3 linked regions of the Cricetulus griseus genome follow. The protein of the gene in region 1 purifies or fractionates together with the protein of each later gene. This does not show direct contact. Links are inferred from orthologs where the notes say so. Each region holds a gene or a part of one and is shown in the gene's direction. Other genes may lie near its edges.

Region 1 (10,189 bases):
TGGAATCTCTAAAGTATAGTACTGAACCCCTTATTTGACACATGTGACTTCAACTGATCTAAAATCAAGTTTACTCTTTTGCACTTGGACCGATGGTATTTCTCTCTTCCCTTACTTGCCATGGGCATTTAATCTGTCTGACCTGGTAGTTCATGGCTTCCACTGCTGAAATGTTGAGATGTTCTTTGGCTTGACATCTGCGACCTTCATAATCTCTGGAGCATACTGCCCAGTCTTCAGTTTCTTGGACCACCCTCACTTTGAGTACCTTGGATATGGTCTGGATAAACACAGGACCATCCTATGACTTTGCTCTTTCTTCTCTGGTCTAACTGTGAAATGTACTTTATACTGTGGCCTTTCAAGGTCAGGCTATCAGTTTAAAAATGTGTTAGATTATTTTGAGAATAGCCATAATCTATTGTTAGCCTTTACTTTTCTGTCCAAATGATTTGCAAACCTGAAAATCCTGGTAAAAAGTGGGCATTTAAGATGTGGTTGGGAAAGGCAGCCATGGTGCTGTACACTTGTATTCCTAGCACTCAGGATCATTGCCATCTACTACGTAGCCAGTTGGAAGCTGCATTGGTTTCTGAGACAGGGTTTCACAGACTTCCATAGACTGACCTCAAAATGGCTAGGCAGCATAGGCTAGCTTGGAACATTGAGTCTTAATTTAGCCTCCCTAAGTCCTTCAATTACAGATGCAAACCATTATGCCCATTTTAAGAAGTTTCTTTTTAAATGTAAAGATGTAATTCAGTTCTGCCATCTGTACTCTGTAAGAAACAACCTTAAAAGTCAGTGTATTTAGCTGTGTGTCAAGGCATATGATTGTAATCCTAGTACTCAAGATGCAGAAGTAAGCAGATCTCCTTCCTGTACAGCCAGGGCTACATAGTGTCTTAAAAATAAAATTAAGGGCTGCAAAGATGGTTGTGTAGTTAGGAGCATTGGCTGCTCTAGTAGATGACCTTGGATTGGTTCCCAGCTCCCATACCACCATCTAATTCTAGTTCTAGGAAGCCTGACTTCTGTGAACATGGCACACATACATATATACATGTGCCATGCAGGCTAAACACTCATACACATAAATTAAACACTTTCTAAAGTGAATAATTTGTATCTCAGTGGAAATTGTAGTTAAGACTTGGGTAACTTTTTTTTTTTCTTTAAGATTTTTTATTTATTTACTTATTATGTATACAGTCTTCTTCCTGCATGCCAGCAGAGGGCACCAATCTCATAACGGATGGTTGTGAGCCACCATGTGGTTGCTGGGAACTGAACTCAGGTCTTTAGAATTATCTCTTTACCATTAGTCACTTAAGAAAATTCTTTTTTTTTTTTTTTTTTTAAAATTTATGTATTTATTTGTTTTCAAGACAGGGTATCTCTGTAGTTTTGGAGCCTGTCCTGGAACTCACTTTGTAAACCAGTCTGGCCTGTAATTCAGATCTTCTTGCCTCTGCCTCAGGAGTGCTGGGACTAAAGGTGTGTGCCGCCACCGCCCCTCACAGCCAGTGCTCTTAACCACTGAGCTCTCTTTCTAGCCCCAGTGAGCTTAATTCTTAAGAGTGTATTATCCTCTCTGAAGAGTTCAGTTTTTGGTTTGTTTGTGTTTGTGATTTGCTTATTTTAAGACAGGGTTTCTCTATATAGCTCTGGTTGTCCTGGAACTCCCTCTGTAGACCAGGCTGGCCTCAGACTCGAACTTACTTGCTGCTGGGATTAAAGGCATGCAACCTCCTTTCCCCACCCCAGCTGAAGAGTGCAGTTTTATTTTTGGAGGCAGTTAATCCATAGATAGATGTCCTTGACACTATCAAGATTTGTTTTTAAGACTTAAACCATACTCGTAATGCCAAGATTTGGGGGTGGGGGTTTTTTGAGACAGGGTTTCTCTGTATAGCTTTGGAGCCTATCCTGGCACTCACTGGAAACTAGGCTGGCCTGGAACTCAACAGAGATCCGCCTGCCTCTGCCTCCCAAGTGCTGGGATTAAAGGCGTGTGCCACCAAGCCCTGTGATAGAGTGACTTCTATGTAGTTTTTTATATTTACTTATTTGTGTATATGTAGTGGGAACATGGATGTCAGGAGGAGAACTTGCAGGAACCAGTTGTCTCCTACCCGCCAAACTATCTGACCAGCCTCTTTACTTTTTTTTTTTTTTAAAGATTTTTATTTATTATGTATACAACATTCTGCTTCCATGTATATATCTGCACACCAGAAGAGGGCACCAGATCTCATAACGGATGGTTGTGAGCCACCATGTGGTTACTGGGAATTGAACTCAGGACCTCTGGAAGAGCAGGCAGTTCTCTTAACCCCTGAGCCATCTCTCCAGCCCCTCTTTACTTATTTTTAAATAGTTTTTGTTTATTCTTGTATTTAGTGTGTGTGTGTGTGTGTGTGTGTGTGTGTGTGTGTGTGTGTGTGTGTGTGTGTCTATGTCTATGCTTACACCCTTGTATCTCATACTCAAAGCTAGCTGGCCCACAACCTCTGGGTGGTCCTGTCTCTTGCTTCTCATCTGACCATAGTATTAAGATGCTTGCCAATGTGTCTGGGTAAGCATAAAGTTTCTGTACATGTTATAGGCTGATTTAAGAAAAAGTACCGTTTAAATTTAGTATTTATTGCTTCTAGTTGAGGTCTTTTAGAGCATACATATCTTTCTGGGTCAATTGAAAGCTGGTAGTTAGACTGGGTGTATAATTCAGTGTTGCTTTATACATACAAGGCCTTAGGCTTGATGCTCAATGCTGAAGAGTATATAAGTTCAATAAAAAATATTGTATTGTTGAAGTGCCTGTGTGCGTGCACATACATGTTCGGGCATTTGTTTTAGCTTCTAATGACTGACTTTGGCTATTTTAACTGTTAAGGTCAGTTTTTAGCAGGCTGAGGAACTGCAAAGGGCACAGTGGTGAATGCTTTAAATTATTCCCAGGCTCCTTTTCATAGTTGCAATGACAATATTAATTATGCCTTACCTGTTGAAAATTTTATCACGAAAAATAAAAGACCCAGAGATAGATATTGGGGTTCAGACTTGAAGCTGAAGATTAGAAAAACAAAACAGCCAAGCCATTAGCTGTTACCATTACCTCAGGTTGAATGGGCTGATCCTGCTGCCTTTCCTCAGCGTGACTGTAGAAGTCTGAATGTCTTCCTATCTTCCATGAGGCTGGAGAATGAATGCCTGATACTGAGACCTTGCTCCTGTCTTACATACCTCCCTAATGCTGGGATTAAAAGTGTGTGATCCCAGGTGCTGATATCATCTTTGTGTAAGCTGTTTCTCTTTAGGACTGGATCAATCTTGTGTAGATCTGGGTGGCCTTAGTTTCACAGATCATCTACCTTTAAAGATGTATACCACTACCTCCTAGCTTCTGGGATTAAAGGTGTGTGCCTGGCTTCTATGGCTTGTGGCTGACTTTGCTTTCTGAAACCACAGGCAAGCTTTAATAAATCATAAATAATATATTACCACAGAAAATTCCAAACAGCTGTTGTGTCAAGCAGTGAGTCTGACATGAATTTATGAAGGACTTCTGTACTGCTGGCTTGCTCACTTGAAATGCTGTTTTGTTTGTCTGTTTTTGTTTTTTTCTAATTGTTTTCATTGTATCAACATAGTTGTTATACTTGCAAAATAATAGTTTAAACCTTTCCACAGTCTACCTCCATAATATAGAGTACTGGTTTACCTTTCTTTTTGTGGACCTAGGAATTGAACACACTAAACCGCCCTTCTATAATATTTTAACATATTAAGAAAATTGGGCTATTTTTTTTTCTTTTTTGGTTTTGTTTTGTTTTTGTTTTTTGAGATGGATTCTCGAGCTAGCTTTGGAGGGGCCATTACCTTTATTTATAATCTTTGATGACCTAAAATGTGCAAATAGGGGGGGTGTATCTACAGTTTTATAAAAATCACTTAAATTTGAGAAGCCTTTCTGCTTTAATGAAGAGCTAAAGTGGTCTGGTTGTCCCAGGGGTTGGTCTGTAGTCAATCTTGTGAAATCATCTGCTCTTATTCGTTGTATCAAACTTGCTTATAGTATTGCTGTCCTGGTTTTGTTTAAAGTTTTTTTTAAATCCTACTTTATTATTTTCCACTAGGAAACCACCCCTACTACTAATCCCCCACCTGTGGAAGAGGAAAAAACAGAATCTAATCAGGAGGTTGCCAACCCAGAGCACTATATCAAACACCCTCTACAGAACAGGTAAGCTGCTTTCTGAGAGAGGTAAGAAGGGTGGTGCACAGCTAGGTTTCAACAGAAGGATGAGGTGTGCCTCCTTTTAGATGTATATGCTCAGGTGTCAGCCCACAAAGGATCTTCGCTGAGGAGAAGAGAAGCCTCTGAAGGATATGGTCATGAAGACAGGACAGTGGGGGGCCAAGGGATACAGGAGCAAGACTTACTCAAGGTGTCACAGTCTCCCTTGGGCTGCACACTGAAGTAACTCCTTGCTGACTTCAGCGAAGGCTTTTTGTAAAGTGTAGGTGAAGGAATGAGAGGTTGGAGCATTTGAAAAGTGGATAAGACATATTAGGAAGCAAGAATGGGAAACAAAGGCAGATTGAGAAAGGAGAGAGATGGGGTTTGTGAAGGCTAGAGGAGGTGGCCCATGCAGACCAGGTGGAGGAGGGAGGGGAACTAAGGCAAGTTTTCAAATGAGCGGTGTAACGGAAGATGGGTGGTGGTTTGTTATACCGTTCTCTAGCTTTACCTATGTTTCTGGTTTAGTTACTGGGTTTTCAGATTATGTAATGAAAAACATTTTTATTTTACTGATGGTGGGAAGAAAATGGAAACTTGAAATGTACATGAACCTGGAAAAAAGTAACACTGGAACTGACTTCTGAGGGTCGAGTTCCTTTCTGGTTTCCATATTTGTTTACCAAAAGCAGATCTTTTTTTTTTTTTTTTTTTTTTTAACTGAGTTTATTTGAAAGCCTGCCAGCCTGTTTGTAATTTATTGTCGTATTTCACCATCAAGGGGATAGCATAGTTTTTGCCCTTTTTATGGCATTTTAAAACCCTAACTCTAGGGGTTGATGCTCCATGGTTACAGGCATGAGCTGCTCCTGCAGAGGACTCAGATGGCTTTTCATGACCATCAGTAGCTCCAGTTTCAGGGCATCCAGTCCCACCTTCACTCGTCCATGGACATACACACAGGCCAACACACTCATGTGCATACACAGCTAACACTCCTTTTAGCTGTCTGAACCCAGTTACTGCTTTGCTGTCATTAGGAGGGGAGTAACCCAGCACACCAGACTGCTGAGAAATTTGAGACCATGCAAAAGTGTAAACAGATTTATTCAATCCTCGTGAGATCTCAAGAGATTACAATTTCTCTAAGTTCTAATCTTTTTTTTTTATTTTGCAAAGTATGCCAGTTGGGAAAATACTATAAATGCTATTTGGTACTAAAACCATCACTGACTTTTCGTAAATTTTGTGGTTTCTGTATGTTCTTATAAGCACTTAACAGTTAGAGGATTTAGTAATGAGTGGGGACAGTGTATAAAGGTAGTATGTTTGCCTTCCTCCCCTTTGTTAACGGTGGTGGGGTGCCTTGCAGTGCTGTTGTATGTGCCCACTTGTGCGTGAGCTGTTTGTTATGACCAGATGGGTGCCAGTCTGAAGTGGGAAGTCCGCTTTTCTTACTGTGTGCTTGAGAGCACTTTCATATTCTTTTGGTCACTTGTGGTTTTCTCTTTGGAGAGTCTGTTCTGGGTTTTTACCTATATCTTTTTTTTTTTTTTTCCTTTTGGATTATCTTTCGAGTTGATTTCCAGTTACTCAAATAGCAGGAATAGTAAATCAGCAAATGCAGTTCCAATTTACTTTTATTAGGTTCTTTGGAATTGTATGGGATTGGATTTAAAAATTTTAATATTTATGTAGGCAAATATCATTTTCCCCATGGCTTCTGGATTTCCTGTCAGTCTTAGTACAACTTTACCATGTAGTAATTTTTTTTTAAGATTTTATTTATTTATTATGTATACAACATTCTGCTTCCATGTATACCTGCACACCAGAAGTGGGCACCAGATCTCATAATGGGTGGTTGTGAGCTACCATGTGGTTGCTGGGAATTGAACTCAGGACCTCTGGAAGAGCTGTCAGTGCTCTTAACCTCTGAGCCATCTCTCCAGCCCCCATGTAGTAATTCTAAAAATAAATATGCTAATGTCCTTTATGATTATATCATTTTGTTTTCAATAATTCCTCAAATATTTGATCTTGTGACCCCCTTTTCACTTAAAAAAATTGTTCATTGTTTTTATTTTAGGTGTGTAAGTGTTCCCCTCATGTGCATACAATGCAAATGGAGGCCAGAAGGTGTCAAATCCTTTGGAATTGGCGTTAAACACACTGGTTGTGAACTACCTTGTGGGTGCTGGGAAGCAAACATGTTTCCTCTGCAAGTGCTGTTCACCATTGAGGTCTCTCTCCAGCCCCTCCTTTTAAACTTTTTCTTTTTAAGGCAGGGTTTTTCTGTAGCCCTGGAACTCTCTCTGTAGATGGGGCTGGCCTCAAACTCACAGAGATCTGTCTCTGGCTCCTGAGTGCTGGGACTAAAGGTGAGCTCATCACTGCCTGCCTCCTTTTAAACTCTTAAAACAGAACAGTAATACTGAGGACTCTTAAGAGTTTTGTTTTTTGTGTTCATGCTTAACTCTGTTGTTACAGTAATAATGCTAAGACAGGACATTGGAATCCGTTGGCTTTTCTTGCCTTTGAAACAGGTCTTTTACTTGTGTGATTCTTGTAGAATGATCTATTGATTGCTCTGAGAAGAATCCAGTGATTTATGCAGATCTGAAAAATGTGGACACATTTCATTTAGAGCATAAAACATCACCTAAACTCATCAGAAATACCATTGTTTTGTGAAATTGTCAAGCTTATTGCAACAACTGCAAGCTTTGCGTAATTACAATTTTTATCCTGATAACTCGTAATTTTAAGTAATAGGCTTATTCTTTTCCCAGAAAATAAGTATAGCTTATCAGTCTTTCAAGTGAAATTGGAAAAAAAATGGATAATTTGTATCCCCATTCAAAACAGTATTTTGTTAAACAGATGTGTTTTTCATGTAGGATATGTAAAGGACATGTAAAAGGGTAGGAATTTAGTGAGAAAGGTGCTTATACTGTAGCCCAACATAGCTTGGAACTCACCGGGTAGCCCATGAGTTTCGAATTCCTTCAGGTTTGAGCCACCACATGCAGCTGAGATCATAAGGTTTGTAGGCTTGGTTGTACAACTTCTGAGGTTGCGAGTCCCTTAGCTTAAGAAGATGCATTTTGAGTCATTTCTAAATGATGCTACCTCACACAGTGTAGACGCTTTGAATGGTTTTTGTTTGTGTCATACAGGTAGAACCCTGTGCAGAATGGGTGCAAGGGCTTCCCCTAAATGTTTTCTGAGGTTGCTGACATCTTGAGGGTGTGAAACCTAAGGGTATGGAGAGATGACTGTTTTGTATCTCAGAGAGTAATAATTATTACCATTAGACACTGCAGGTAGGTGGGGGGGTGTAAGGCTTCTGTATAAACTATGTTAGGAGGAAAACCGTAAGCCAGAAGTATATATAGCTATATAGAAATTGTCATACATTATTTTAAAGCATATCTGTTGATCTGTTTTTTTAGTGTGTTTGACTATAGCATCACATTTAATGCTTTCCCCATTCCTCTTTTTCCTTTTAGCCAATTTCTATTGTTTTGTCTTTAAATAATTGTACTTTCTTGACTACTATCATATTATTTTGTACACTGTAATTGTCTATTGCAGAGAATCTGTTATGTAGTTGATACACAATGCTATTTATTTTTAATTCTGAGGATCAAACCTAGGACCTGACAAACTAATAAAGCACTGTTTTTCCAACTAAAATGCATCTACTCTTTAAATGAAAACTAGTTTGCTTTTGTAATAGAAGCTGCCACTTTAAATTGTGTTCTTATAAATGTATATAGTAAAGCACAAATAACAACTTACATTACCTTTGTGTTTTATTTTTTTAACTTTAGATTTATTTTTATGAGCTTGGTGGTTTTTGGCCAGCATGTGTATATAGTGCTTCTGGAAGCCAGAAGAGGGCATCAGATCCTGGAACTAGTTAAGGATAACTGTGAACCACCATGTGGGTACTGGGAATTGTAACTGAGTCCTCTGCAAGAATAGCCAGAGCTTTCAACCACTGAGCCACCAGTCCAGCCCCTCTTAACCTTTTAAAACCTATAGCTTAGTAATAATTGCATTCATGTTATATTGTATTAAAAAAAAAAACCTATTTACATCTTTAAAAAATGTATTTTAGAGCCAGGTGACACATGTCTTTAGTCCTAGCTTGGAGGAAGGCAGTGATATCTGAGTTCAGGGTCATCCTGGTCTACAAAAAATTTTAGAACAATCAAGGTTACACAGAGAAACCCTGTTTCAGACCCCCCTGGTATTTTATGAAAATACTTATTTTTGTGTATGTCTACATACATATGTAAAGGTTTTCATGTGCCTTAGCACAAATATGAGGTCATAGGACAAACCAAAACTAGCTTCTACATGGGTTCCAGTTCCAAACTTTTCCAAACACGGTCACCAGGCTGACTGTGAGTGCATTTGCCTGCTGTGCTATTTCCCCCTTGTTTTTTCGAGATGGTTTCTCTGTGTGACAGCCCTGGTTGTCCTGGCACTCACTTTGTAGACTAAGCTGGCCTTGAACTCACAGAGAATCACCTGCCTCTACCTCCTGAGTGTTGGGATTAAAGGCATGTGCCACCATCACCTGGCTCCTGTTTTCATCTTTTAAACTAAAACAAGTTAAGTAAGTTGCCAGCAACATTCTGTCTATTCCTTGGCACCACTTTTGTTCTCCAGATCGGACTACCTTAGGTCCCTCATGTAAGTAGAGCCATGGTTGGGGTGGGTATTATTTCATATAGTCCCGTGTTCTTAGACTTCACCCTTGTTGTACTGAGTGTCAGATTCCTCTTCAGGGTTGATGGCTTTTCCACTGTCTGTCAGTTCTACATTTTTACATCATTTTCTTGCTGATGGACATTTCTACCTTTTGACTGGTAAATAATTCTGCTATGAATGTGTGTTTTTATATACTGCCTTTTTATTTTTAGGTGGGCACTCTGGTTTTTTAAAAATGATAAAAGCAAAACTTGGCAAGCAAACCTTCGGTTGATCTCTAAGTTTGATACTGTTGAAGACTTTTGGGCGTAAGTAATTTTATTTTAAACTATACTTTAAGTTGTATATTTTTTTATTTTACGTCATTCACAAAATGAAAGACGAAGTTCATTTGTCTCTTCACAAATGTTTGACTTGATTTTGCTTTGCTGTAGATTTAGTATGTTCAAAAGCCCTATGCTTGATCCTCCAGCACAAAACAACAGAGAGAGAGAGAGAGAGAGAGAGAGAGAGAGAGATAGAGATAGAGATAGAGATAGAGACCGTTTCATTAGAGTCAGCCTTTATTTAGGCTTGAATAGTCTCTATTCCTCATCTGCCTGTGAGAATCCCCTCTTACAGTCTTAGAATTTTTGAGAACATTGTTGGAGTTTGTTCCCCTGTGCAGTCACCTAGATGGATGTTTGTGTCATACCTGGGTATTGGAGCCTGCTCTGCAAACAGTTTTCACTGTGATACCTGGAATTCCCCACTTAGGATATCAAAAGCTGAAGTGATTAAGATTCAGAGGCATGCCTAGAGAATGATGGTGTTAGTTCATCAATTTTATTGTAATTTTTGAAAGAGCAATTGAAAAAAAGTTTTTTTTTTTTTTTAAGGTTTAGTTTTCAGTTTAGGAAAGTTGACTTGGAATCAAACTTTTCCAAGATTTAAAAATAGAATATAAACTGAAAGTCTTTAAAAGTGTTGTGTTTGTTTTCAGACAGGATAAAGCTGAGTTGTTGAAGATGTCCTAGCATTCTAGAACTTGCCTTTACCTTTCAGACATATACTGCCCATGCCTTAGAAGCTTTGAATCAATGTTTCCAGTTTTTGTTTTCTGAGGATCGCATTCAGAAACTTAGATAGGCAAATGCTGTACCTTTGAGCTGCATCCCAGCTCCTCCAAAGTTAATTTGTTTTGATTTTCTTGGAGAATATATAGGGAAACACTGTTTGAAA
Region 2 (10,627 bases), on another chromosome or scaffold:
AAATCATAAGGACAACTTTGGAAAAATTGAGTTCTTTTAGAGCCCCAAATGACTTTTAAAACAATAAAACAAACTATAAACCCTACACAAGTGATATTAAAATTATGTAGTTCAAGAACTGTGTGTGCCATTCACAAATGTGGTTGTGATTTTTTTTTAACTACAGCAAAATGGATATGGATCTATTGGGTTTTGAAAAGGCCGTGTTATATGGTTTAGCAGAGTTAAGTGCTTCGGTTTGCTGGTGAGGATTATGTAGCTGGGTTGGAATGTCAGAATCAACGCCTCTAAGGTCTCCACCCACTTTCCAGGGTCTGAGGCTGCAGCTGAGGAAGGACAGATGCACCTTTAACTGGCAATCACTTAACAATCCTGAATTAGCGGTTATTTCCCCAGCATCTCAATATTTACTTTCAGAAGGTTAACAGATTGCCGTCTTTTGGGCTGGTAGCTGAATCAAGCACAGACTAAACCCGCACCATAAACCCACACATTCCTGAGGAGGAGAACGAACAAAATGGTGGGGAGATATTTCATGAGGAAGACCAGTTCTGTGCTAGTTCACTGAGCTCCCAATTTTGGGGGGTATTCAAATACAATTTTTAAAGACACATTTGAATTTCAGATAATACCTGTCCTTACTTGGTCCTCAGAGTCTGTGTCTTTCTGGAATCTAAAACACGAAGTCTCCATCAGGCCAGGTGATAAGAAGGGTAGGTATAGAGTCACCTGTGGAGACAAAGATTCTGTGAGAACCCTCTCCTGAATGTCTCCAAAGACAAGATACTACTGAAATTGTATATAGGTCTAATGAATAACTAAAAACCAAACAAAACCTTTAAAATTGAGTGGCCCCAGGTGTGGTGGCTCAGGCCTATAACCTGAATTATTTGAGACACTGAGGCAGGAGGCTTTCAAGTTCACATTCATCCTGGACAACTTAGCAAGACCCTGCCTCCCAATAAAAGACAGGAAGCTGGAGCTGTGGCTCAGTTGATAGGGTTTTTCCCCCTAGTGTGCATAAAGCCCTGGGTTTGATTCTTAGTACTGCATAAACTGGAAGTAGCATGTGCCCAGGATCCCGGCACCCTGGGAAGTGTAGGCAGAAGGATGGAAGTTCAAGGTTTCCCTTGGCTACATATCGAGTTGGAGGTCAGCCTGGCTACATTTGAGACCCTGTCTCAAAAAAAAAATAAATTAAAAGGAGCAGAAGGCATATCCCAGCTGTTGAGTATTTGCCTACCATGGTAAGGCTCTGGCTTCAACCCCTAGTAACACCCAACTTCGTGTGAGTGAATTCTGTGTGTGGGATGTGCCCACAGAGGCCAGAAGAGGGTGTTGGGTTACTAGAGTTAGAAGCAGTTGTGAGCTTCCAGACATGGGTGCTGGGAACTGAACTTGGATCCTCTGGGAAAGCAGCAAGTGCTCTTAATCAATGAGCTGCTCTCCAGTCCCACTTTTAAAAGTCATTTATTTGCATGTGTGTGTGCCTGCTTGGATTTATGAGCACCATGTGCGTGCAGGTGCTCTCAGAGGCCAGAAGAGAGAATCTGGGATGGAGCCTGGGTCCCCTGCAAGTGACTTTTAACTATTAAGCCACTTCCCTGGTCACTCTTAGGCTTGTGTATGCACCTGTGTGGGTTCCCAAGTGCCACAGCCAGTGTGTGCGTGGTCAGAGAGACGCCTTGTCCGTCAGTCCTCTCTGTTCACCATGTCCCAGGGATCAAACTCAGGTCCTCAGGCTCCGAGGTGAGTGTCTTTACCCACTGAGCCATCTCTATGACACAGCACTTTAGGTCTTTTTTTTTTTTTAATATACAAAACTACTTAATCTTTTCCAGTTTTTATACTGAAAACTTTCAAAGCTACAGTGAAGTGAAAACAATAGCACAACAAAGACCTGTATGTCCTTCACCCAAACTCGACAATTACTGTTTATTTGGTTTATCTCTTTATGTTTCCACACACAGACATTTACAGTTGTGTGCATATGTGTAAGTATAACCTGTATAACAAACTACTTGAAGGTTGTAGATATCATGACCCACATCCTTAAATACTTCAGTTTGAATCCATTAGTAGTGGGTTTTCCAATATTTAACTCACAAGACCGAAATCACACCTACACAGCACCAGTGAAATACTGCCACCTACGTACAAGTCATTTAGTTCTTCTCCTTTTACCCTAAGCCCAAAGAATTCTGTAAGACCTTATCAGACTACCATAATCCTTATCTTCAGTTTCATTCCATAGTGGTGTCTCACGGGTCTTTCTTGATTGGATTATTTCATTTCCTGAATCAACAAAACTTTCTAAATTAAATTCTATCTCATCGTTATTGTGTATGATGAGGGTTTTGGGCATTCATGTTGTGAGCTCCAGCGGAGGGCTCTCTTTCCGAATTTTTTTTTTTTTCATGTGGGGTCTGGAGTGTGAGGTCAGGTCTTCAGGTTTGCAGCATAGGGAGGTAATCTCTCATAGGCTGAGCCATCAATCTCACCAACCTCAAATGTTTTATATTTGTTCTGGCATTCCTCCAGTTTTCCCACCCACCACTCCTTTATTTCCCTTGAATTCAATGGATTTAGAAACTGTCATAATTTGCCAGGTGGTGGTGGTGCTCACCTTTAATCCCAGCACTCAGGAGGCAGAGGCAGGAGGATCTCTGGGAGTTTGAGGCCAGTCTGGTCTACGAGTTCCAGGATAGCTAGGGCGGTTACACAGAGAAACCCTATCTTAAAAAACAAAATAAAATTGTCAGAATTTTATCATACTTTCTAAATTTCATTACTGTTGTGTATAACGTGTGTCACCAAAAGCATATGGCAGAGGATAACGATGGGACTAGTTTTTCCTTCCATCATGGGTTCTGTGGATCAAAACTTACGTTGCCAGGCTAGCACCTTGACAATCTATTTTTGAAGCTTAAATCACCCCAAGTTGCCCAATAGAAGCCCTTTCAAGCAGTCTGTTGTCTTCCTACAGTGTCTAGCACAAGATGTATTTGAGCTCACCAGAAGTGTCACATGGTTCAGTTCTCCAGGTATTCACAAGTGTCTATTCCCTTTCAGCCCTGCCCCTCTCAACTCTGCTGCTATCTTCTATTACTCGTGTAACATAGTGAACACACTGGAGATACATTATTTCTAGCTCCCAAGGTTTAAACTCAAATAACAGGGCTTCACACTCACTGGTTTGTCTGTGCTGTAGCTTGTGTCTGTCATTATTCTGAAAGCTGTCAGTGATTCCATCCCCAAGCAGTCAGGAAGCTTTATGGCAAGTTCCAAACGTTTCAGACGAGAAAAGCCTGTAGCAATAAACTGACGGAGGCTGTGTTAGGTAACCTATTCACATGCTGTTCTGACTTGGACTCACTCACACCCTAGGCTTGTTGACACCTACTTATCTTTCAAACATCATTTCCTTTGGGAAGACTTTCCCTTCCCTTTCTCAAATTGACTCTCTCCTTTTCACCAAACTAGGGGCTGTCCCCTAAAGTTTCTGACCATTAGGCACGATTTCTCCCTAGCAAACATGTTACTGGGTTCAATTTGCTTCCTGCTTCCATGAGGACAGGGGCTACCTCTCTCGTTTGCTAATTACACACAGTAGTAGCTCAAGAAAAATGTGTGCAGTGAAACTCGAACCCAGGTCCTCCGGCTACCCAGTTTTCTCCTCTTTAGCTTGGATCAGCTGAAGAGGTAATTCTAAACGGTGAAATTTAAAATCTCAATAGAAAAAAGTCAGGGAGTTTTTCTATTAATAGAAAACCTTAGCAGAAATTGCCCAACTCAAGGTGTGGTCACCGCAGGGGGGCGTCAATCAAGAAAATGCCCCTTTGCCCCAGAGGCGAGTGAAGCCGCACAGGGCCGAGGCCACACTGAGCAGCGCGCTACGACTTTCAATAGAAAACATGTGCAAAACCTCGGAGCCCGGCTGCGCACAGCTGTGTCCTTCAGGGCCCCGGGACAGAGGTCCAGGAGCAGACCCCCCGCCTTCCGCTGGATCGAAGAACACTGCATAGCACCTGCCGCGCGCTGTATGATCCAGGTCTTGCCTTGATTCCCGCCTGGAGCAGATTCTGCCAAGTATCGAGGGAGGTGGCCGAGTTTGGGGGTTTCCAGGTGGAATACGGAGCACCTGCAGTCTTTCTGTCAGTACCCGTCTGGGTCGCAGTCAAAGGCTAGCTAGCGTCTTCTTGGAGCTCTGAGCAGCACAGGGCCCAGTCACTAGACAGTGCCACCGTTACCCCAAGGAGCGCAGCCTCTGGGAGGTTACTCTGGCTCCGGGAGGTGCCATCCTGCCGACGACCTGCTGGCCCGCAGAGTCCCATTCGTCCCCCAGCGGCCAGATGCCGCCCCGAATTTCCGCCGTGGCGCTTCCCGCTGGGATCCGCGTTCCTGGCACATGCCTTGCGCTCACCTCTTCGACGGTCGCAGTCGGACTCTCAGTGCCGGGAGCGCCGGCGGTGGCGGTGGCGGGACACCCCGGAGCAGGGTCCCCGGAGCTCAGCAGCCCGAGCGTCTCGGGGGCGGGAGCAGGGCCGGCGGGGGCGGGTCGGGGCAGGGGCGGAGGCGAGTCCGCGGCCCGCGCCATTGGCCGCAGGGCCTGGCGGCAGGAAGGGGCCCGAGCGCGGCCCCACCCCGTGGCTGCCCGAGCCTATCGCCGGGAGCGCGGAACGCAAATAAATGTAGCGCGGTGGCGCGGGCCGGCAGCGCTCTCGGAGGGGCCGCTGCAGCGCCGTCATGCAGTTCCCGCACCCGGGACCCGCGGCTGCGCCCGCCGTGGGAGTACCGCTGTACGCACCCACGCCGCTGCTGCAGCCCGCGCACCCGACGCCCTTCTATATCGACGACATTCTGGGTCGCGGACCCGCCGCGCCCACGCCCACCCCCACGCTGCCATCCCCCAACTCCTCCTTCACCAGCCTCGTGTCCTCCTACCGGACCCCGGTGTACGAGCCCACGCCGGTCCACCCAGCCTTCTCGCACCACCCCGCCGCCGCGCTGGCCGCCGCCTACGGCCCCGGTGGCTTCGGAAGCCCTCTGTACCCCTTCCCGCGGACGATGAACGACTACACGCACGCCCTGCTCCGCCACGACCCCCTGGGTAAGGCGGCCGGGGTTGGCGGGGCCCCGGGAGCGGGCGTCCAAATGGGGAAGGCGCACCCGGCGGGTGGCAGCGCGCGGGAGGCGGCGGCGGGGCGGACAGGAGACGCCGGAGAAAGTTGCGGCGAAAGCTCTGAGCGAGCGACTCGCGGGTGCGCGCGGGCACAGGAGGCGCGGGCCCCGGGGACGCGCTGCGGGAGCTGGGACGCTCGGCCACTCTGATTGCTTTCCCTTGCACCTTGCAGACATCCAGGGCGAGCATAGTCGGGAGAGTGTCCGGGACGCCCCGGCTAGTAATGGAGGGCAGCCCTGGCCACGCGTGTCGGCCCGGGTGGGGCCCCCTTAGCGGGCGACTCCGGGAAGAGGACGTCGGGGCGCCCCGAGCCTGGCCCCTGCAGCGCAGGGATAGCTGCCGGGCCGGGCGGTTCCTGGGCTGGGCTTGGTTCAACAAGCTTGTGCAGTGAAGGAGCCTGACCCTTTCCGTTCATACAGGAAATCTTGAGCTCTCGATAGGAGAAAATCTGGTTTCTGAAGCTGTTAAGTGTTTTCCTGGCTGCATGAAGCAGACCCTTCCCCCGGAGTAGTGCACGCTGCTGATTATTTTATCGACATCCTCAATACAGACAAATTCAGGAAACACTCGACGTCTGATAGCCAGGATCCGTTTTTCTGATATTGTTCATTTCCTCTGTGTGGGATGTGACTTTATGGCAGCTAAAATAACCAGTTGCTTCCTCTCTGCCTCCCCCCGCCCCCCTTTTGGAGGCTGTTTTGCACCAGTCTGAAGCCTGACGCAAGCAAAATCTCGAAAAAACAATGCCAGCTTTCAAAATGTTTAGGTGTAGGCCTGTAGAAAGAGGGACGGACATACCGACGCACCACCACAGCTTTGGAGTAACAAGGTGCGGACCCCGAACAGTTAGGAACGGCGACACAGACACTGACTGCATGAGAATTTTCGGGGCTTGTCCCCATAATGTTCCTAAGAAATAAATAAGCAGCGGTGACTGGGTTCGGGGCCTGAGTCCCTCATCGCCCGCGCAGTCTGATTCCCTAGAGGGAATAAGAGGTGGGCTCACCAGACTTTAAAGTCAACACTTTCCCCAGTTTCACTAGGGACCTTGGAGACAATTAACATTTTAATGAATTAGTATTTTGATGTCAGCGTTTAAATGACGCAGCCTCCAGCGCTCCTATTCTCACCGCTACCGGGATTTGAGGTGTGGGTGTTAACAATTCTGTACTTAAAAGGTTATCAATATTTGTATTTTTAAACTTCAGCCTGCAGGGTGTGTGACCGCCACCCACTCTATCCCCCTGTGGGGCAGGAACGGTCCTGGGGCAGACGTTTTCACAGAGATCGCCCTGGTTTCCTTGGGTTTCTGCTGGGCCTGAGCAGAAGGAAGCTTTTTTTTTTTTTTTTTTTTGAGACAGACCAACAGGAAACACATTGACGGAAATGTTGCCATAGCCCACGGGGTGGCTTTAACTGGCCGCCCCCGCAGGCCGAGTGTGAAATCAGAGGAGGCCGAGGTGTGCTCCAGCCACGATTGGAGGCCCCCCGCTCGAGGCCTAACACTAGCGCCCAGCGAGCTCTTCTGTGTAACCCTGCTCCTCCCCTAAATGCGCACACTGAATCCTTTGCAAAAAAAAAAAAAAAAAAAAAAAAAAAAAAAAAAAAGTTGTGTACATACAAGAGCCGGTCGGTAGGTTTTAAGCCCGGCAGGAGTTCTTTGGGTTGAGGAGATTTGTTTGCATTTAGCCACAGGTGTGATAGTCGGGTAGTACGGTGTTTTGAGTGTCCCGAGGTGGTCTGTGTGCTCAAACAGTTTAGCTGACTTTGTGTGCATTAGTAGGGACTGTTGAATCCATCCATACACCTGAGAACGTATGTGATGAGAATATGCCTGCTTTTTGGCCTCCCCCCTCTGTCACCTGGGACCAGGTAGGTCTGGGACTGCCCAGGGGCTCTAGGGCCGTGATGACCGCCTTTCTTCTGGCCCACAGGCAAGCCCTTGCTCTGGAGCCCTTTCCTCCAGCGGCCCCTGCACAAAAGGAAAGGCGGCCAAGTGAGGTTCTCCAACGACCAGACCATCGAACTGGAGAAGAAGTTCGAGACTCAGAAATACCTCTCCCCACCCGAGAGGAAGCGTCTGGCCAAGATGTTGCAGCTCAGCGAGAGACAGGTCAGTTCTCTGGGTCCCGCAGCCCCAGCAGGCTTTTAGTGCTGAAGAAAACACTGGCACCCTGGGCATGTTCTGCCCCTACCCAGCTGCAGGGCTGGTCCTCGCCACAGCACCAGCCCCGTCTCCCTTCCTCCCCAGGTCTCTCGGGATTTGGAACTTTCTGTAAACTTTCTTTCTTTTCTGTAGGTCAAAACCTGGTTTCAGAATCGCCGAGCTAAATGGAGAAGACTGAAACAGGTATTGACATGGTTCTGTTTCTATGGAAATAGATGTTTGTATCATGTTATCTAAATGCGGAGACCTGTTATGGGTTGTATGCAAAAGTCATTTGAAGAGACTGTTTAACCTCTTCACCTTGATTAAAAGGGCAAATAGTCCTGCTGAAATTCAGGATGAGTTGCTCAGGTGGCACTAATGCTAAAAGCACCTAATGCAGTTCCTATATCAATTATGCTAGGGTTTCACACACTGGCCAGTAAACCGCCTAGCTAATTGTTTTATAAACCCCATATGTTGTTTATCTCATTAACGCAGGAAAGATAAAGTAATTGACAGTAAATGACATAAGTAGTTATCTTTGGGAGAAAATTGTTTCTTTTATTTACACAGCCATAATAAAACCAGGCAGGACTCAAGGGTAAATATAAAGACACAAACACCTTTAAGTCTTATTTGCACTTTTTAAAAAGGAAAAATTAAATATCAAAGACTTTAAAAATTATTGTCCATCTTTTGCCAGCTTTTAAAATGAATGTAAAACATGTAAAGAAATCACCATGCCTATTTGGAAAGTAGCTTAAACTTCCTAAGAAGTCTTTCAATAACCTTGTTAAGAAACATGTGATATATATATGATATATATATATATATCATATATATATATATGTATATGCTAACTCATCTTCCAAAGCAACCCTGCTGATTTAGAGCTAAGGATTTGTTTCTGAGGTCCCAGACTGGATGTTTCCAGAGTTATCTGACAACCGCTGAATGGCTCACCTGGCAGTGCCTTAAATAACATCGACCACAGCTTGAAACAAAAGTTTGCTAAGTGGGAAAAGAACATTTGAAACAACAAAAGACTTCCTGTAGTTTTATTATTCCTAAGTATCTAAGGATTCCCTTTCATCACTAACCTTGCCCAGCTTTTGCAAATTTGGTCACTTGAGAATTACAATGTTTCTATATAATGTTTGCATCCATATTAGACACCCACAGGCTTAAACACTCACTGACTGGACTTGGTTCTTATTCAAAGGCTTGGAGCTAGTTTCCCAAGGACTTTTTAAAACAGAGCTTTCTATGAAATATGGGAAATATTTTTCTCCAGAAAAATTTGCCCAGATTTTAAGCAAATTGCAGTCTCTTCAACAATGTTATTTGGGTCTGTGATTTTTCTTTGCCATGATTTTGTAACTTGGTACATAGTTATATGTGTATGTGCTCATAAATTTACTTCAAAAGGCAAATGAAAAGGATTCAATCTATAATTTCACAGCTTCTTAATTTAGTATGTTTTTCCTTTTTTCTTTTCTTGTGGGTGGGCATGAGTGGGCCTTGGTATTACAAACCAGCCATTAACATTTGTTCGTTTTAAAATGCTAGGAAACCCTGTTTTGGGCAATATTTAAAGAATGACGACAGTGCAGTCTGGATTGAGTTATTTTTCCTCGTAAACTGAAGATCTTGATTGAGATCATGGGTCTCTGTCATGTCTAATCTCTCTCCGATGTGACTTTGCCACTCTTCTTTCCAATGGGAAAAGGAATCACAAGTGTATCTTCTTAGGAAGGAGATTTTAGATGAAAACAGTGTTTCAACTAAACTTTTGGTTTTTATGTCTTTGATCTTACCCTCTATGTTTTCATCCCCTCTTCTTTCAGGAGAACCCTCAAAGCAATAAAAAGGATGAGTTGGACAATTTGGACACTTCCTGTGACCAGGGCCAACACTCACCCAGTGAACAGAATAAAGGTGCCTCTTTGGATAGTTCTCAGTGTTCACCCTCCCCAGCCTCGCAGGAAGACCCTGACTCCGAGATTTCAGAGGATTCTGACCAGGAAGTGGACATTGAGGGTGACAAAGGCTACTTTAACTCTGGATGATGGTTACCAGCGGAGATTTGTTCAGAGACCGGACTTTCGAATAATGTTCTGCTACAGACAAACTGGAAAACTATGGGAGAGAAAAGGAGTATCATTCTTCTAGTGTTCCGAGACTATTTGGTGGGCTGGCTAATTAACAAACATGCATTGAAACCTTAATTTTGACTTAATAGATGGTGTATATACCAGCTTTAAGTTGTTTTGATAAAGTGACTAAATGTATCCCCATTTTAAAGAAGTGAATAATTTCTATTTATGAGAAGTAATTTGAACTTTTGTTTAAAACTTAAATTATAACTTTAAAGGTTTTAGTAGGCTGTTCCTGAGTGACTTTTCCTAAATCTGTGGCTCTACCCTCAAGAGGTACACTTAGAAAAGGGGCCCCTGTTTTCGGCTCCTTGGAGCAGTTTCAAAGGGCACACTCAACTTTTACGTGACATGTCACATTGCTGCCTTAACTACTAAACCATTCTGGAGCACTTGGCTCCAGGCATGTGTTCTTATAAGCAAGATAGCTGATAGGGTTCTCAAAATCTTGCTTTGCTTTGCCAGTGCCTCTCTTAAGGGATAGCACAGTCCCCACAGGCAGGGAAACTGACTCATTTGTGACTGAAGGTGATCTCTACATGAACTAGAAACAGCAGGACAATTAAATGTAAGTGATTGTAGATAGTGTGTTTTATTGAAACAATGTCTATAGCATGTATATAGAATTATTCACTGTAAAATCCCTGCCAAAATGATGTTTAATTTTTTTTTAAATTTTTATTTGATGAGTTAACTTTCGTGACCCTGTTTGGAATTCTCATTCTTTGGTTAAAAAACCCAAACATACCACCACTTTGAGATATGTGTGTGTGTGTGGTTGGCACAGGACTGGGGGTGGGGGGCTGGGGCCCCTTGGACAGTGGGGTGCCCATCTCCTGGAGTGTGAATTTGAGTTTTCCCAGGGGTGTTAGCTGGGGTGGGGTGTGTGTGTGTTGCCGACCAGGGGACCAAGCAGGGCCGGTTAGAGGGCCATTGATTGGTGTGTGAGGCCACCGTCCTTGACCAGCATGAGTCAACAGTCGCCCTCACCCAGGTGGGAGCCCAGCTGCTGTGCTCTGTGCTCTGTATGTGTGAGGGATGAGGCAGGGCTTGGAGGAACAGCAGACTTAGAAGATCTGGGAACGTTAAAGTCAGCGGCCTAGAGAGAATCTGAGCAAGCAGCTGCTCTGAGGTGCTGGC
Region 3 (9,311 bases), on another chromosome or scaffold:
GGCGGGGGAGACGCCGCCGAGTGGCGGAGCGAATGAGCACATGGCCGCTTGAGAGCTTCCCCTCCCCCAGTCTGCTTCGCTTGTCTGTGTTGTGCAATCTCCCCCTTAGCTAACTCGGCTGCGGCTCATTGTGCGCGAGGCCGCCACCGCCCGCGGCCTCCCACATCCGGGTACTGGGGAGGGGGGCCGGCGGAGGGAGTGGGGGAGGGCGCGGGCGGCATGACGTGGGGGGAAGGGGACGGCCCACCCTCGGAGCTCCGAGGTGAAGGGCGGGACTTCCGGTGGCCTTGGAGCCCGGGAGGAGGTGCACGCGCTTTGATCGGTCAGGACCAGAACATGTGGGTCTGGCGGCAAAGATTGCATCTCAGCCTCATGTGTGAGGGCACAGCCCCTTGATCTTTATTAACAGGAGAGACACCCTAAATGTGCGTCTTGATTGTCCATTGGGAACGAGCGGGAATGGGTTGGTTGTTTCTGCGCTCCTCTCAAGCAGGAAGCAAAACTAATGCTTTGAATCAACAGATCCAGAGACAATGGCCCCGACGGGATGGAGCCTGAAGGCGTCATCGAGGTGAGACTACAACTTTCTGCCACTACCCTGCCTTATGCGTTTTCTCTCCTATTCAATCCCCCGCTTTACATGTCTGAAGTAAACAGGTACCTCCTTATAGAGACAGTGACCTCAGACATCTAGAATGAGACAGACGGCAGACATGGGGTGGAGTGGCTGCGGCTTTTGTGTAAACACATGCTACTATCTTCCTGAGTTTTCATTTCTTTGTATCCCACAGAGTAACTGGAATGAGATTGTGGATAGCTTTGATGACATGAATCTCTCAGAATCCCTCCTCCGTGGTATTTATGCCTATGGTTTTGAGAAGCCCTCTGCCATCCAGCAGCGAGCCATTCTTCCTTGTATCAAGGGTAAGAATTGTCAGGATAGATTTGTACTGTCCCTGACCTGGTGGTGGGCATGGCAACTACAGGGGAACAATTTATTTACACTGCTTCCTTGGTTCTTGGATTTAGTTTATGTCGGTATCTAGGTCATGCCTTGGATACAGACAGGAGTTGGTGTTTCCAGTTAGTTCATAGGCACTTTAATTTTTAATGTTTTGTGTCTAGCTCAAGTGGGTGTGGTATAAGTTCATAATGTTCTGGTACCCTGGACTTTGTCACAATATCTGGGTGACAAAAATTTGAGGCCCTCCCCTAACATTGTTTGCAACCTTGTTTCCTTATGGATACCATGATATCCCTACTGTCTGTCAATGAGCCCACGGTGCAAGAACATTTACCGCATGTAATTCTTGATCTGATTGTAGGTTATGATGTGATTGCTCAAGCCCAGTCTGGGACTGGGAAAACAGCTACATTTGCCATATCAATTCTGCAGCAGATTGAGTTAGATCTTAAGGCCACTCAGGCTTTGGTTCTGGCCCCCACTCGTGAGTTGGCTCAGCAGGTAAGAGTGGCTTCTTTCCTCCTTAATTGACTAGTTTCAGAATGACACTTCAGTGCATTTTCTGGCACTGCTGGCAGTTAAAAACATGTTCCGGAATTGGTAAATAAAATGGGTTGGTAGCTTCTAGAGCTGTTGATTTGTTGGGGTAATTATCAAATCTTTTTCTGTCAGTAGAACCCACTTCCTTTGGCATAAAGTGAAGTGGAATGCAGCTGGCTGGGTAGCAGGGCCAGCTATTTTATGAAGAAACCCTGGCAATGGGCAAAGAGACACCTTGGTGGTGGTGATGTTCTTATATGAGCCAGGGGCAGATCAGGTGGCAGTCCTTTGTTCATCCTAGCTTGATGCCTGACTTGGTGGCCAAAGCTGTTTCATGCCTAGGGCACATAAAATCCTGCTGCCTCTTGGTTACTAATGTTTAAACCTAGTGATTATTCTGAAGATCTGGGTGCTGGGGTAAGCAAGGAGTCCTGTTTGTCCGTGTCATGGGTGGGGGGGTTGTGTTTTGTTTGTATGCAGGCTGAGGGTGTAGCTCAGTAGTGGAATGCTTACTTGCCCAATAAGGGAAGTCTTTGGTTCTGTGGCAGGGATATATAATAAACATGTTGCTTACATTGTTGTGTTCATAATCCCAGCCTTTGGAATGTGATGGCAGGATGGAGCCTGTGAGTTAGTTCTAAGCCATAAGGGCTGGCGTGGCCTGGCTTGGTATTTTAGAGGGTTTTGTGTAGGATGGAAAACTTAACTGTTAGCCTGTGTTCAGAAACAAGGATTCTGCCATTTGTGTGTGGGGGGGTGTCTTAAGGAGAGTTTTAGATAAATGGATTAAAGGGGAAAGTAACAAACTTCCAGGTGTATATAGCCGAAGCTAACTTAGTTGTCTTTTGTTTAGATTCAAAAGGTGGTCATGGCATTAGGAGACTACATGGGTGCCTCTTGTCATGCCTGTATTGGAGGCACTAATGTGCGTGCTGAGGTGCAGAAGTTGCAGATGGAAGCTCCCCATATCATCGTGGGCACCCCTGGCCGGGTGTTTGATATGCTTAACCGGAGATACCTGTGTGAGTGCCATTTTACAGTTGTCGCACTTTCCTAGGATGTTAGTTGCTCTGTGATGAACCCCATGCGTGTCATCTGAGCCCAGCTTCCCTGTTGCCTTAGCCCAGGTAGTGTTCTACTTACCAGGACTATTTTCTGGCCTGGCAGGGAGGCCTTAGGCAAAGGATCAATCCTTATATTCTGAGAGCAGACTGCTCCTTGCCTGTCCCTTTACTAAGGGACTTAATTAAATGTTTCACATTTCTCTTATTATGTGTTGGTATCTTTTCTGTCTTCCTAGCCCCCAAATACATCAAGATGTTTGTACTGGATGAAGCAGATGAAATGTTAAGCCGTGGGTTCAAGGACCAGATATATGATATATTCCAAAAGCTCAACAGTAACACACAGGTAAGCTGCTGTCTTCATAGGATAACCCATGGCTTGGTTGTGATGTGAGGAGGACAAGCAACCCTTATTGCCATCCACTTTTCTCTCCCCAACTAGGTAGTTTTGTTGTCTGCTACAATGCCCTCAGATGTCCTTGAGGTGACCAAGAAGTTCATGAGAGACCCCATTCGGATTCTTGTCAAGAAAGAAGAGTTGACCCTGGAGGGTATCCGTCAATTCTACATCAATGTGGAAAGAGAGGTGGGGCCTAGTGCAGGAGGCGGACCTGGTAGTAAGTTGTTGGGTATAGCCCCTGACTGATGTTTCCGGATCTCCAGGAGTGGAAGCTTGACACATTGTGTGACTTGTATGAAACCCTGACTATCACCCAAGCAGTAATCTTTATCAATACCAGAAGGAAGGTGGATTGGCTCACTGAAAAGATGCATGCCCGGGATTTCACTGTTTCCGCCATGGTAAGTTTTCTCAGATCTTCTAAGTAGCTGTGTGTGCTTGTGTTTTAAGCATAGAATGCCAAAAGCCTTGTGCTACTTGTTTTCTAGCATGGAGATATGGACCAAAAGGAACGAGATGTGATCATGAGGGAGTTCCGGTCTGGTTCTAGCAGAGTATTAATTACCACTGACCTGTTGGTGAGTAGAGGCCTGTTTCAGGAAAAGCAAGAGGGGTGGGAGGAGTTGAGTCCAAGGTGATTCCCTCTCCAAGGGGCTGACTAGTGCCCCTTTCAGGAACGTAGCAACTTGGAAGAAAACCTGGCATGCCTGAGGTCTCTGGGGGAACAAGAGATGCTTGTTTGTTGCCTTTCCCTGCCTTGGCTGCCTACATGTATTCCTAAATCAGTTGGACAGATTGTACCCTCTGACAGTTCTGTGATCTTTCTTGACCTAGGCCAGAGGCATTGATGTGCAGCAGGTCTCCTTAGTCATCAATTACGACCTTCCCACCAACAGGGAAAACTACATCCACAGGTAAGTAAGGGTCTGCAGTGCCAAATACCCAAGCGCTGAAATCCAAATGTCATCCTCTTTCCCCATTCCATTATTATCCCTTTTTGCCCTTAGAATTGGTCGTGGTGGTCGCTTTGGCCGTAAAGGTGTGGCTATCAATATGGTGACAGAAGAAGACAAGAGGACTCTTCGAGACATTGAGACATTCTACAACACCTCCATTGAAGAGATGCCCCTCAATGTTGCTGACCTCATTTGAGGGGCTGTCCTGTTACCTGGCTCTAGCCAGGGTTCAGTCCTGGGGGGCTGAGGAACAGCTGGAGGGGGGAGGGAAGGGAGCCAAGGGATGGACATCTTGTTTTTGTTTTTGTTTTGTTTTTCTCTCTCTCTCTCTTTGAATAAATGTCACTTTTTGAGGCAAAAAGAAGGAACCGTGAACATTATAGATACCCTTTTCTTTGGGGTAGGTTCTGCCCCAGGCGCCGTCTCCTTCCCCCAACCCCAAAACACTAATCCATTCCCCTAACCTGATTCTAAAGACTTTCCTACTACCCCAGCCAAATCTCCAAAAGTGAATCAAGGGGCTAAAACATGTCTGGCCTCATTTGCTGGACCAAATCTACAGGGAGAGTCCCTGCATGAAGTTGTCCAGGGAATTGTCCCCAGGTGAGGGGAGCAGGGGAGAGAAAATGGTAGCCATTTTTACATTGTTTTGTATAGTATTTATTGATTCAGGAAACAAACACAAAATTCTGAATAAAATTACTTGGAAACTGCCTGTTTGGGCTTCTTGTTTGTTCCTCTCCCACCTGCTGTTTGTGTGGGTCAGCTCCTATAGTGGTTCATTACTGTGTTGTTGCCTCCTGCTGGTGTTCAAAATATATCAAGTGATCCACTATGTACTGAAAACTGGTACTGACAGTACAGGACCCTTCACAAAACGTTAGTCACGAGTATCACATGATACTTGAGGAACTGAACACAGTAATGGGGTCAAGAAGTCAGCAAAACCTAGTTCTGCTTAAGATCCCAAAGTGCCCAACACATGTGGATGCTGACTGCCTATCTTTGGGGGTGAGGATTTCCCTGTAGCTCTTGGTATCATGGAACTAAAGTGAAGACCAGGAGATGCACACGGGTGGGGCAGGGTTCCTAACCAATGCGGAAAGGGCCTCCTAATTAGTTTGCTTGCCTTGTAAACTCAAGTAGAGCAAGTTTTGCTTAAGATCCTATGAGTCAACTGCCTCATTTTTCACGTGGTTGCTAAGATTTTGTACCTCCCACTGCCACTGCCAATCACAGCTTAATTGTGAGAAGAGCGACTAAAGTGAGTGGCTGGAGCTGAGGTGTCTGAGTCAGGTTCTGGGGTGGGATTGTCTTAAGGGAAGTGCAACTTTCATTTCCTCTTCAAGAGAAGGCAGAGGTTATTGGGTTGAGGAAGGAGCTGGTACAGCCCAGCTGGACTCTTGAGCTGCTCTACCATGAGGTATGAAGTGCTTTGCTTGGTCTTGCTGGGACTGCTTGTAGGTAAGGAGAATGGAGAGGGGAGGGAGGGAGCTCCTGGGCAGGAACCTGTACCTGGGTAGCCAACCGATTTCTTGCTGAAAGCCCAAGGAACAGGGGAAGACTGTCCTCACAAAAAAGCTGCTACTCTCCTGCCATCCTTCACGATGACACCTACAGCCACAGAAAGCACAGCAAGCTCTACTACCAGCCACAGGCCCACTACCACCAGTCACAGAAATGTCACAGTTCTTCCAACAAGTAATAGCACCGCTACCAGCTCTGGACCCACAACTTCCACTCACAACCCTGCTGTGACCACCAGTCATGGGAATGCCACAGTTTACCCCACCACAAACAACGGCACTGCTCCTAGTCCAGGGTTCTCTACCATCGGCCCTCAACCTGGACCAACTCCACCCTCTCCAAGTCCTAGTCCAGGCTCCAAGGAGGCTCTTGGAAACTACACATGGACTAATGGCTCCCAGCCCTGTGTTCAGCTCCAAGCACAAATTCAAATTCGAATCCTGTACCCAACTCAGGGTGGAGGAAAGGTAAAGCTAAGGTAGTGGGGCTTAAAGGGGACAGGGGTAAGTTCTGAGGTGTTTCAGGGGGCAAGGGGTGAGTTCTGGGGTGGTTCAGGAGAAAGAGCAGAGGATATAAAAAAATACTGTATGACATAGCCATGTAATTTCAGACTCACTATTCTTTCACTTCTGTAGGCCTGGGGCATTACTACATTGAATCCCAACAAAACCAAGGTCCAGGGGGGCTGTGACCATGCCTATCCCCACCTGTCTCTCTCATTTCCTTATGGGCGGCTCACCTTTGGATTCAAACAGGTAGACAGCTTTTGTCTTCATCCTTTACTCTCCTGTGCCCCATACCTACACCCCTAAGCTGCGTCCTTTGCTCTGTGGACATAATGCCACTGTCCCTGCTGCTCTAATCCTTTCTGTTCACCTCAAGGACATGGAGCAGGGTACAGTCTACCTCAACTACATGGCAGTGGAATACAATGTGTCCTTCCCACAGGCAGCACGTGAGTAACTTCCCTTCTCATTATCACACTAGCTAGTTTGGGGGGGGGGGGGGCGGCTCGACAACAAGACTCAGGAGTTGTGAGTGGACTGAATTGACTCTTCATTAATAACTTCTTCAGAATGGACATTCTCAGCTCAGAATTCATCTCTTCGAGAGCTCCAAGCTCCCCTGGGCCAAAGCTTCTGTTGCAGAAATACAAGCATAGTTCTTTCTCCAGCTGTTCACCTTGACCTACTCTTCCTGAGACTACAGGCTGCTCAGCTTCCCAACACTGGACACTTGGGGCCATGTAAGACCTCCCTACCTCTTCCTTCCTGGGAGTCTCCCACTGCACAGGAAACCTCTTCCCCAGAGCCCTCTTTCTTTAACAAGACCGCCTATTCCCCCTCTACTTTGCTCTGAATTATGGGGTTGAGCACCTCATCAACCTCCTTCCATCATCTCCTTTTTTCTTCCTCCTACCTTTATCCCATCCACTGCTGCTGGAATCCCTAATAATCCCATCTTTCTACCAGGTTTCTCTTGCACCAGTGACCAATCCCTCTTGCTGCCTCTCATCATTGGCCTGGTCCTCCTTGGCCTCCTCACCCTGGTACTTATTGCCTTCTGCATTACCCGAAGACGGCAATCAACCTACCAGCCCCTCTGAGCATTTGCTCCAATTCACTCCGGGCCACTAAGGAACATCCTCATTTCTTCAACTTACAACTGACTCAAAGTTATTCTCCTTCTCTGTCTTTAAGAACAAAATCAGAGATTTTGTAATGGGTGGTTAATAAACATGAATGGGTGTCCCACTTCTGATAACAACAAAAAAAGGATATGAAAACTTTATGAAATCTTTGTCCTTGGCTTCCCTTGCCCTGCCAGGATTAAAAGCCACGAGTTTCTTGTCATGTGCCTTCCTGTGCCTTCCCATGGTTGAGTCACTAGGAGACAACTGGCAGGAAGGGATGAAAACACCAGAGTAACCAAATGCCTTTAAGGGGTTCATCCTCCAGTGCCTGGCACAGCTGCTGGTGAAGCTGCCAGACTCCCTTCTGGGGCCAGTGACTAGCCATTCCTTTAACATGATATGATGGATCAGTCCATCCTGGCGTCCTGTTCCTACCCTCTAGCTAGAGGTACAAACACAGCCAAAATATGAGTAGGTGGCTGTGTAATTTCATTTCAAAAAGGGTGATTGCCAGTGGCTACCGAGCAATGAGTCCCTGTCCATTGTGGCCAGGGCTAGACTCACTGAAGAGCCCATTGCAAAGAACTGCACCAATCTGGAAGCAGTGGGTACCCTAGGAACAACTTCAGGTCCAGCAAACATACCCTTGATGCCCGGGTACCCAGAGGGCGAGAGGGTGGTGCCACTTGCAGCGCAGCCCACGTCCAGATTCAAAATAGGCCAGATGGCTACACACTGTACCAAAGCCAAGTATAAACTCTACTATTTTGTTTTGTTTTTTTGAGACAGGGTTTTTCTGTGTAGCCTTGGCTGTCCTGGAACTCACTCTGTAGACCAGGCTGGCCTCAGAGATCCTCCTGCCTCTGCCTCCAAGTGCTGGGCTTAAAGGCCTGTGACACCAGTCAGGCAAGTTTCACTATTTATAGTAGGGCATATTGCAACCAACAGAAGTCATAGATGGGTGCCATTCCAGTTGTAAGAGCCCCGTGAGGTTATAGAAATTCTTGGTGGACTGGAGCCCTGCACAGCTGAGAGGTACATGTGGCAGAACCGGCCCAGCACTGCCCCTCCAAGAACAAGGAGCAGAGAAACTATGAGTGCCCTTACAGCCTGAGAGCCAGGGGCACTGCATCAGGAGAGTCGGGGCACTGGGCGGTGGAATGCAGCCTGAAGTGACCCTATCTAGGTGCCATTTCCCAAACAAAAGACATTTGGGGACCTTTTGCCTGCACCCTCTGAACCATCCCCAGGGGTCCAGCCTAGACACGGCAGAGACTGAGAGCTGAGTCAGGGGCGGTTCTCCTGTAGCTGAAGTCGCTCTTCTGCTCCAAACCACCTTCCAACAAAACAGAGGAAGAAGCAGGGGACTAGGAGGGATGCCCAGCTCAGAATGGCCTCTTTCCGGTGCCATTCCCTCCGGAGATACCATGAGGAGAAGAAGAAACTGCGGCGCCCCCGACTAGCGCCATTTTGAAGACTCGTAATCTTTTCCTTTCCAACTTGAAATACAAAGTTAACCGAGAGAAGACAAGATGGCGCATACGCAGAAGGGACAGAGACGGGCGGAGGGATAAGGCTTTCTTTCAGAACTGATAGCATAAACAAAAGCGCGCAAGTCCGAGCCGCGCAGGCGTAAAGCTCTGACACGCTTTAAAATTCGAACGTCAAGGCGCGTACAAAATCCAGTCCGAGATGTATCTCAGGTTCCAGAAGCAGGGTGGCGTAAGAAGGGGCGGTGCTGCCGTGTCCCGGGGGAGAATGAGGCGGAGCGAACGGAGCGCGCGTGCGCGGCCTGGGTCAATGGCGGGCGGGCAAGCCTGGCGGAAGCAATAGTTCCAACATGGCCGGTGAGGCGGACGGACCGTTCAAACGAGTGCTGGTGCCAGTTCTCTTACCTGAGAAATGCTATGACCAACTTTTCGTCCACTGGGACTTCCTTCATGGTGAGTTTTATTCAGCCTTCAAAGTCTACTTCAAGTAACCTTGGACCGTAATTTGGCGAGAGTAGTGCAAGTGACAGGTGGCTAACATCACGCGAAGCTGGGCGGAAGGCGCTTCTGAAGAGGGCGGAAGTGTTCTGGGCCCTGCATAGAGAAGGTGCCATATTTGGGCATGAGGGGGAGTCGCCCGAAAAAGTAATCAAATTTGTGTTTTACAGTCTGGAAAGTCTGTACCCTCCCCCCACCCCTTCTGAGCTGGGGATCGAACTCAGGGCCTTCTTCGTACC

The links.
Region 2: the proteins of Eif4e (region 1) and Hhex purify together in Homo sapiens (affinity purification with western blotting; 3 studies listed by BioGRID and IntAct, with this or other methods). This does not show direct contact. The link is inferred for Cricetulus griseus from reciprocal best matches to the Homo sapiens genes EIF4E and HHEX.
Region 3: the proteins of Eif4e (region 1) and Eif4a1 purify together in Homo sapiens (affinity purification with mass spectrometry; 8 studies listed by BioGRID and IntAct, counting the BioPlex papers as one, with this or other methods). This does not show direct contact. The link is inferred for Cricetulus griseus from reciprocal best matches to the Homo sapiens genes EIF4E and EIF4A1.

Annotation. Positions count from the first base shown.
Region 1 is NW_023276806.1:21,027,953-21,038,141, reverse strand, and holds part of Eif4e (eukaryotic translation initiation factor 4E), read left to right. Parts: intron 1-4,139; coding exon 4,140-4,246; intron 4,247-9,180; coding exon 9,181-9,276; intron 9,277-10,189. UniProt on the Homo sapiens protein: Acts in the cytoplasm to initiate and regulate protein synthesis and is required in the nucleus for export of a subset of mRNAs from the nucleus to the cytoplasm which promotes processes such as RNA capping, processing and splicing.
Region 2 is NC_048596.1:24,365,584-24,376,210, reverse strand, and holds Hhex (hematopoietically-expressed homeobox protein HHEX), read left to right. Parts: upstream 1-4,746; coding exon 4,747-5,110; intron 5,111-7,116; coding exon 7,117-7,295; intron 7,296-7,481; coding exon 7,482-7,532; intron 7,533-9,178; coding exon 9,179-9,400; downstream 9,401-10,627. UniProt on the Homo sapiens protein: Recognizes the DNA sequence 5'-ATTAA-3'. Transcriptional repressor. Activator of WNT-mediated transcription in conjunction with CTNNB1.
Region 3 is NC_048600.1:83,507,134-83,516,444, reverse strand, and holds the end of Eif4a1 (eukaryotic initiation factor 4A-I), read left to right. Parts: exon of another isoform or gene 1-195; intron 196-522; coding exon 523-571; intron 572-791; coding exon 792-924; intron 925-1,325; coding exon 1,326-1,465; intron 1,466-1,711; exon of another isoform or gene 1,712-1,855; intron 1,856-2,357; coding exon 2,358-2,526; intron 2,527-2,571; exon of another isoform or gene 2,572-2,712; intron 2,713-2,804; coding exon 2,805-2,914; intron 2,915-3,010; coding exon 3,011-3,154; intron 3,155-3,231; coding exon 3,232-3,369; intron 3,370-3,456; coding exon 3,457-3,546; intron 3,547-3,595; exon of another isoform or gene 3,596-3,741; intron 3,742-3,802; coding exon 3,803-3,882; intron 3,883-3,975; coding exon 3,976-4,120; 3' UTR 4,121-4,288; downstream 4,289-9,311. Other genes in the region: Cd68 (macrosialin), read left to right, coding at 5,343-5,388, 5,470-5,918, 6,087-6,206, 6,334-6,406, 6,527-6,697, 6,924-7,057. UniProt on the Homo sapiens protein: ATP-dependent RNA helicase which is a subunit of the eIF4F complex involved in cap recognition and is required for mRNA binding to ribosome.